Mus musculus: one gene and its partner. The protein of the gene in region 1 interacts with the protein of each later gene in a pairwise test. Links are inferred from orthologs where the notes say so. Each region holds a gene or a part of one and is shown on either strand. Other genes may lie near its edges.

Evidence for each region.
Region 2: the proteins of Sf3a3 (region 1) and Tada2a interact in binary tests that used the Homo sapiens proteins (3 or more experiments, as listed by UniProt). The two-hybrid records come from large-scale screens. The link is inferred for Mus musculus from reciprocal best matches to the Homo sapiens genes SF3A3 and TADA2A.

What each region holds. Positions count from the first base shown.
Region 1 is NC_000070.6:124,721,009-124,725,139, forward strand, and holds part of Sf3a3 (splicing factor 3A subunit 3), read left to right. Parts: intron 1-1,015; coding exon 1,016-1,098; intron 1,099-1,869; coding exon 1,870-2,008; intron 2,009-2,662; coding exon 2,663-2,731; intron 2,732-3,750; coding exon 3,751-3,818; intron 3,819-4,066; coding exon 4,067-4,131. UniProt on the Homo sapiens protein: Component of the 17S U2 SnRNP complex of the spliceosome, a large ribonucleoprotein complex that removes introns from transcribed pre-mRNAs.
Region 2 is NC_000077.6:84,119,379-84,123,509, reverse strand, and holds part of Tada2a (transcriptional adapter 2-alpha), read left to right. Parts: intron 1-2,321; coding exon 2,322-2,428; intron 2,429-4,131. UniProt on the Homo sapiens protein: Component of the ATAC complex, a complex with histone acetyltransferase activity on histones H3 and H4. Required for the function of some acidic activation domains, which activate transcription from a distant site. Binds double-stranded DNA.

The DNA of each region.
Region 1 (4,131 bases):
ACTCAGGTGTTAGAGGCAGAAGGATCTCTGTGAGACCTGTTTCAAAAGAAAAGAAAAAAGTTCCTGATGAGGAAATGTCCCCAAGTTCAGCTTCTAACCTTGAAGCTCTGCAGGAAGGTACCTTGTCCTCTTCTGCACCTCCATATATGGCTCAGAGATGCCCAATAAGTGGTTATGTAGATTAACACAGCCATCTTTCTTTTTTTTTTAGATTTATTTATTTATTTATTATATGTAAGTGCACTGTAGCTGTCTTCAGACACTCCAGAAGAGGGAGTCAGATCTCGTTACAGATGGTTGTGAGCCACCATGTGGTTGCTTGGATTTGAACTCTGGACCTTCGGAAAAGCAGTCGGGTGCTCTTACCCACTGAGCCATCTCACCAGCCCCACAGCCATCTTTCAAGACCTTATTTTAGAATGGCAAAAATTATTCCCACTGCCCCACCGTGTGTTGCGGCGCCAGCACAAGCCACGCTTCACCACCAAGAGGCCCAACACCTTCTTCTAGACATAGAGACCCACTGAATAAAAACTTGAGACTGTCAAAAAAAAAAAAAAAAGAATGGCAAAAATCTTTAGGCAGGATCCTGGCCCACCCTGAATATCCAGCCCAGGTTTTACTAGGGCTAATGTTTGTTAACTTGATCTTGTAGAGTTGGTTTCATGTTGGGCAATCTTGTACTCCCTTCAGTAGAATCAGCCTCCGGGATTGTAAGGCAGGCAGGAAAGCCCTAATGTGAGCCAAGCCTCGATACTTGGTCAGAAAACGCTCGATTTGGACCTTGATTTAAAAACAAAAGTGTGTGTGCGGTGGCCTTCAAATATGGGGGTCACGGAATAACTTGAGGGAGTTAGTCCTCTCCTTCCACAGTGTGGGTCTCTGAAATAGAACTCAGATCTTTTTGCTTGGCGGCAAGCACCTTCATCCCCTGAGCCATCTCTGCAGCCTTGTGTGATGTTTTGAAGGTGAGCTGACTTAGCACCTGATTCTGTCATTTGTTTCCTCTTTTCAGAAGCTGGATTACATCACATACCTGTCCATCTTTGACCAGTTGTTTGACATTCCTAAAGAAAGAAAGAATGCAGAGTACAAAAGGTAGGCACTTACAGGTTCCAGGCCGTTTCCAGATTTAGGTAGGATTTCATGGAAAGGGTTGGGTCAGAGTTGTGGCTTTTGTTGTCTGAATACTGGACATGAATGACTTTTGGGTTTATCAGAAGGTAAGGATACTGAGTGTTATGTTTTAGAAATATTTGTGATGCTGTCATGGTGGTGCAAGCCTTTAACCTTAGCATTCCCAAGAGGAAAAGGGCAGGTGGGTCACTGAATTCAGCTGGTCTGCATAGTGAGTTCCAAGCCAGTCAGGGATGCGCAGTGAGAGCCTGCTCAAAAGATAAACGTGTGGGACGTTCTGGTTATGGACAGAGCTATTATGGAAACATCTGTGGTCTTAACACACACCTTCCTTAATTTTGTGTGATTTAGAAAGAAGTCTGTTTGGGGACCTCTGAGGTCTTGTAGTTTAATGGGGAAAGTGTCCAAGCTAAGTGATGTGCTTGGATCAGGTATTAAGCAGAAAGTACTGTAGACTTGGCCACACTTCTCATTAATGTTCCCCAAGCCATAGGCCTTCAGTTCTAAGCCTGCAAGTACAAATGAGCAGGCACACACACGAGACACACACACACACTTTCTGTCTGTCTGTCTGTCTGTCTGCCTGCCTGCCTCTCTCTCTCTCATATGCTATGAGTTTTACTTTATCAACTATTATTAGAAATTAAGTATGGTTTGCAGGGCATAGCAGGATGTCACAGGTAGAATTGCTTCCTTGCTATAATGGCTTCCTTGTTGCATGGTTCTCTGCAGATACCTGGAGATGCTGCTGGAGTACCTACAGGATTACACAGATAGAGTGAAGCCCCTTCAGGATCAGAACGAGCTCTTTGGGAAGATTCAGACCGACTTTGAGAAGAAGTGGGATAATGGCACCTTTCCTGGATGGCCGGTGAGCTCCAGTGGGGTTCATGCCAAGGAAGCGAACTAATTATTTTATTCTTGAGTCTCTGCTTCAAGACGTTGGATGTCAGTCCCTCAGTATCAGCTCCATCCTGAGGCCGGCATTCTTTGTACACTTGGAACAAGATTTGTCAGGACCCACTAGACATTGTCTGGGCCCTGGGTTTTTAACAAACATACCCAGATTGCTCTGTGACTCCTGACCAAAATCTGATCAGTTTGTATGATTAGAATCTATGTTTGTTTTTAAGAATTGTTTGTTTATTTTATTTATGTGAGTACACTGTAGCTGTCTTCAGACATACCAGAAGAGGACATCAGATCCCATTTCATAAGGTTGAGAGCTACCATGTGGTTGCTGGGATTTGAACTCAGGACTTCTGGAAGAGCAGTCAGTGCTCCTAACCACTGACCCATCTCTTCAGCCCAAATTTGTGTATTTTTACTTCTTTTGATAAACTTGAGCTTTCAGGAAGAAAACTAGCTGTCTGATACTTTTTTTTTCTTCACTTCTGTATGAATTGATCATTATTTGTAAATGTGTTTAAAGAAAGGGACCAGATAGTCCTGGGAAGTTAGATAGCTCCATTACCTTCAGTCTTCTCATTAGCCTGGATCGTAATAAACTTCCTCTACCTGCCAGAAAGAGACAAGCAGCGCCCTGACTCACGCGGGAGCCCATCTTGATCTCTCCGCATTCTCCTCCTGGGAGGTATGTTCTATGACACTACATGACACTGCTCTTACTTGGCTGGCTGTCTTTCTGACAGTGGTGGTGGCAATAAATGTATTGTGTAGGAGTAGGTATATGTCTCTGAGCGTGCATGTGTCTCTGCGTGTGCCACAGCATGCATGTATCACAGCGTGCATGTGTCTCTGCGTGTGCCACAGCATGCATGTATCACAGCGTGCATGTGTCTCTGCGTGTGCCACAGCGTGCATGTATCACAGCGTGCATGTGTCTCTGCGTGTGCCACAGCGTGCATGTATCACAGCGTGCATGTGTCTCTGCGTGTGCCACAGCGTGCATGTATCACAGCGTGCATGTGTCTCTGCGTGTGCCACAGCGTGCATGTGTAGATGATGAGTTGTGGGAGCTGATTCTCTCCTCTACCACTGAGTCTTGGGGCTCAAACTCCGGTCACCCCTTCCTTGACTGTGGGCATTTTTTTTCCTTGTTGAGATATCTCACTAGCCCTGGCCATCCTTCAGAGGGACTGCTTGCTCTCCTGTATTCAGTGTCTTAGACTTGTCACAATACCACTTCTGAGGGCAGGCATGTACAAGGGATATGAAAAGATCAGAAGGGAAAAACCTTTTAACATCTCGGAAAACTAGATTTCAGAGACCTGTGAGATGATGTCATAGAAAGTCAGAGGGGAGCTGAGGCAGGAACATTGCTGTGAATTTGAGGCTGGCTTTAGAGTAAGATCTGTCTCCAAACACAAAGTCAGTAATTCCAAAACGAGGAGCTAGAGACAAGAGTTCAGTTGGTGGAGGGTTTGTCCAGCGTGTGTGAGGTTCTGGGTTCAGTTCCCATCTCTGCAAAAAATACTGCTATGAATGGTCTTCCTACAGAGAGCCACTAAACACTGCCTTCCCAGTACGACTGAGCCTAGACGTGGCAGTAGTCAGTCTTTGGGAACTGAAAGCTAGGGTTGACTGTAGAATGTAGTCTTACCTGGGGAGAAAGCTGATCATGTTGTGTTGTAACTGATTTCTCTTTTCTAGGAGTTGGCATCCCTGGGTCTGGATAGGTTGAAATCTGCACTATTGGCATTGGGCCTGAAGTGTGGCGGGTAAGAACCTGGTTTTGCTATCAAAAATCCTAGTGACTGTATGTTTGGATGATCATCTAAGTGGCTCTGATTTTGTTGTTTGATTGCCCCAAACTGTCAAAATCATTTTGTGCAGTGCATGCTGGTGAATGCCTTTAACCCCAGCACTGAGAGAACAGGCAAGTCTGTGAGTCAGAGACCAGCCTGGTCTACAATAGTGAGTGTCTTTTAAAAAGAAAAAAGATAACCTGTATCCCTTACCACCTCAGGACCCTAGAAGAACGAGCTCAGAGGCTCTTCAGCACCAAAGGAAAGTCTTTGGAGTCACTCGACA
Region 2 (4,131 bases), on another chromosome or scaffold:
AGCAGTCAGCTACTTACGCATAGGTTGAATCTCGGCATCTTACCATGAGAAACAGGATAAATCAGGCTGCTAGTGACTAAGAAATGTTACAGGTCTTAGTAACTCCTGGTCAAGTTCTGAATAAAGCAGAGTAAGACCTCCTCTTGAACTGTGTAAAGCTGTATTAGAGTACTCAAATATACTAAAACTTAAACTTTCGTTAAGACAGGATCTCACTAAGTAGCTCTGACTGTTGTGGATCTCATAAGAATCTGCCTGCTTGTCTTCTGAGTGCTGAGATTGAAGGCATTCACCACCATACTGCAGGCACTGGGGCTGGGGTATAACTCAGTGAGCACTGTTACCTGTTTGACTAGCATGTACAAGGTCCTGGGTCAGATCCCCAACACTGTCAAAACAAACACTTTTAGCGTGTAATATAGAAATAGGTTCTAGGGATTGTAATTGTGAGCTTTGTTTTTCTATCTCATTGAATATTTAATGAGATACTTGAAAGTTGCTAAGGACTGGAGTCAGGGCTTTTTGTTTAGTTTGGTTTGCTGTGTAGGAAGGACATCTTTAGTACTTAACATCTAGGATCCCAGTTCCTATCTGCAAAATGTTCTTAGTGCATCCCTCTCATCCTAGCAGCAAAAATCTGCCTTCGTAGGTTTCCAAAATCTCTCCTAGGGGTTAGTTCAGAACCATCGGGTTAGTTAATTGATGAAATGAACTGTTGAAAGGATAGAAAAGGGTCAGTAAGATGGCTCAAGCCCGAGGACCTGAGTTCAATTCCTGTAACCCACATGCTGGAAGAAGAAAACTGACTCCCAAAAGTTGTCTTCTGACTTCCATATGCTGCAGAGCACGCACACACACACACAAATACATAAATATAAATAAATAATAAAGTGTAATACATAAAAGTTAGGGAAGCTCTATTGTGATGATATAGAACCACTTGAACCTAGGATTCAGGGCCAGTTTTGACAACTTAAAACCTGTCTCTTAAAAATAAACAAAAATCAAGAGTTCAGGGGGTAGTGATTTGGGAAAGATTGGCATCTGGGGCTGGAGAGATGGCTTGTCACTTAAGGTGTTCTGTCCTTTTTTTGTTTGTTTGTTTGTTTGTTTTGTTTTTCGAGACAGGGTTTTTCTGTGTAGCCCTGGTTGACCTGGAACTTACTCTGTAGACCAGGCTGGCCACGAACTCAGAAATCCACCTGCCTCTGCCTCCCAAGTGCTGGGATTAAAGGCATGTGCCACCACTGCCCGAAGGTATTCTGTTCTTGTAGGGGGCAAGCAGACATGTGGCCTGTAAGTCCAGCTCCAGGGAACCTGACACCCTCTTCTGACTTCCATTGCCACCTGCACTGGAATGCATGTGTCACACACAGACATACAAATAGACATAATTTTCTTAAAAACCGACATGTAGCACTTAGTATTTTAATTTTTATCAGAAGTGGTAGATGGTCAATGCCTGTAATCCCTTCACTTTGGAGGCAGAAGCAGGCAGATGAGGAGTTGAAGGTCCTAGTTGGGGACTAGCCCCTATCAGTTTTCTCTGTCTTCATTGCAAAGCAAGCGGCTGTCAGAGCAAAGAATGGTGCCGCAGAAAGTGTTTCTTAGCTTTATGGAGGAAAGCGCTATTACAGAGTCTGATAGCTAAACAAAGTAAGTCCCTTCATCTCCCTTCCAAGGCCTTTGTCTCACATTCCCATGGGCAATCACAGAACAATAGGTTGCTCTGACTTCAGAGAGGCAGGATTTAGGGCAACCTGGAACAATGGTATCTGTAGTCATAGGGCTTTGGAGAGTTTACATGCGCCCTTTGCCTTCATCGTTCAGAACAAGAACAGGACTGTTTACAGCGGTTTGCCTTTTCCTTGGTATCTCAAGTCTAGACACAAAGCTTAAATCTCAAATTGGAATTCCTCCAACTTGTTAAGAAAAGAATTTTAACTTGCAGAGAAGTTGAAAGACCAGGGCAGTGACTGCCTGTGTGCTGCTCTTAGGTAGAACAATCGTTGACCTTTTGTCTGGTTTGCTTTTATGTGTGTGCTGTATGGGGAACGTGCCCAGTTCTCTTTCCCTTGTGGCAAAGTGGGCTCTGTAAAACTTTAAAATTTCTAAGTTTCTCTTCTCTGCACTGACCATATCTGCCTAGTGTTTGAAGCAATAGGTTCACTGGAGGAAGGACTACGCTGCTGTGTAGTAGACAGAGTGGTTCTTGTTTGTGTGTGCAGTGAACTCATTTCACTACTGTGTGTTTGTCAGTGCAGTCGGGCTTCAGCCATTCATAGAGTGTTAAACTCATGTTTGTTTTCTGTGTGTTCCAGATGACCCATCTGATAAGCCGCCCTGCAGAGGCTGCTCCTCCTACCTCACGGAACCTTACATTAAATGTGCTGAATGTGGGCCCCCTCCTTTCTTCCTGTGTTTACAGGTAACTCCCTGGGGAGAGGGTGTCTCTCCTGGTCTGTTTTGTGGATACAGTAACTTAGAGTAACTGGATAGCTTAGGACCACCCTGCACGAGCTCTCTTGCTACAGGTAGTCTTCCCTGCGGACTTTACCAGGAAGGTTGGGAACGGATGGGTGAGACAGACAGGACTGTTCCAGACAGCGGCTCATCTTAATGCTGACCACCTTCCCAAGAAACCTGAAAATTTTCCATAGCAGGAGTCAGAGCTGGCAGGCTGTTCCTTTTGACCTCACTGTTTAACTAGCTAGAGTAGTCTTTGTGTAGTTGACAAGTGAACCAAGTGTTTTGTGGGCTATATTAGGAGTAATACTGGTTAGGGGTGCCAGGTACTACTTTGAGTACCTCACTTGAATCAGCCCTAAATCATCACTACAGCACTGAGAAGTGAGTAAGTCAATATCTCCATTTTATAGATGAAACTCAGCCAAAGAAAGCCTAAATCATTTGCTTGTTGGGATTATCAGGGCTTACGCAGTCTAAGACACTTGATTATAGGAAGCATTCCAGAGATGGCACAGGGTCTGCTGTGCAAGCGTGAGGACCTGAGTTTGAATCCCCAGCATCTGTGTAAACCTGGGCATGGTAGCATTTGCCCGTAGCCCCATGCTGAGGAGGACATGGAGGAGGTAAGGGAAATTTGGGCGAGCTTGGGGGTTTGTTAGTTAGGCAGACTAGCTAAATGACAAACTCTAGGTTCAGTGAGAGACCCTGTCTCAAAAAATACAGTGGAGAGCGATAGAGGAAGACACCTAATTGTGGCTTTCATAAGGGTGTGCATAGCTGAGTGCACCTACAAACACACGTGCACACAAACAGCATCCAGTTTCAGAGATGTTAAAATGTAAAAAAGTGATCCTTTTTGAGTTATAGTAAGAGTATATATTAGAATCCCAGTACTCAGATGCCATTTCTGTGCCAGGCAGATCTCTAAGTTCAAGGTCAGCCTGCTCTACAGAGTACCAGGACAGCCAAGGCTACATAGAGATACCCTGTCTTGAAAAAACATTTTTTTTAATTAAAAAAAAAAAAAAAAAAAGATTATGTACTGGGCATGGGGTGAACTCTGGGAGAATGGACAGGAGGAGAGAAAATGAAGCCAGCCTGGACTACATAGCACAATTCTTCTCAGTATACCAAAAACAAGAAAAAAACAAATCCCAAAACAATGGCTTTAAGACTATAGTATATCAGCTGGGCGTGGTGGCGCACATCTTTAATCCTAGCACCCGGGAGGCAGAAGCAGGTGGATTTCTGAGTTGGAGGCCAGCCTGGTCTACAAAGTGAGTGCCAGGACAGCCGGGGCTATACAGAGAAACCCTGTCTCGGAAAAAAAAAAAAAAAAAAAAAAGACTCCAGTATATCCATCAGGTTGGTAGTGGCAGTAAAGGCCTGTAATTTCAGAACTTGGAAAGAGAGAGAGGAACAGGAGGACTTCAAAGCCAGTCTGGACTACTTGAAGTACTTGAGTTCTTACCTCAAATAATGTCTTATGTTTGTTTGTCAACAAACAAACAAACAAACAAACAAATCAGAGCATCTTCAAACCATCTGTCTTGTATTGTTTTATTTACTTTTTGTGTTTTTTTTTTCCTTGCTCAAGTTTATGTGTAAAAACAGCATAGGACACTGGTCATCTGCAGATGGTGTGTACTTGCTATGTCCCAG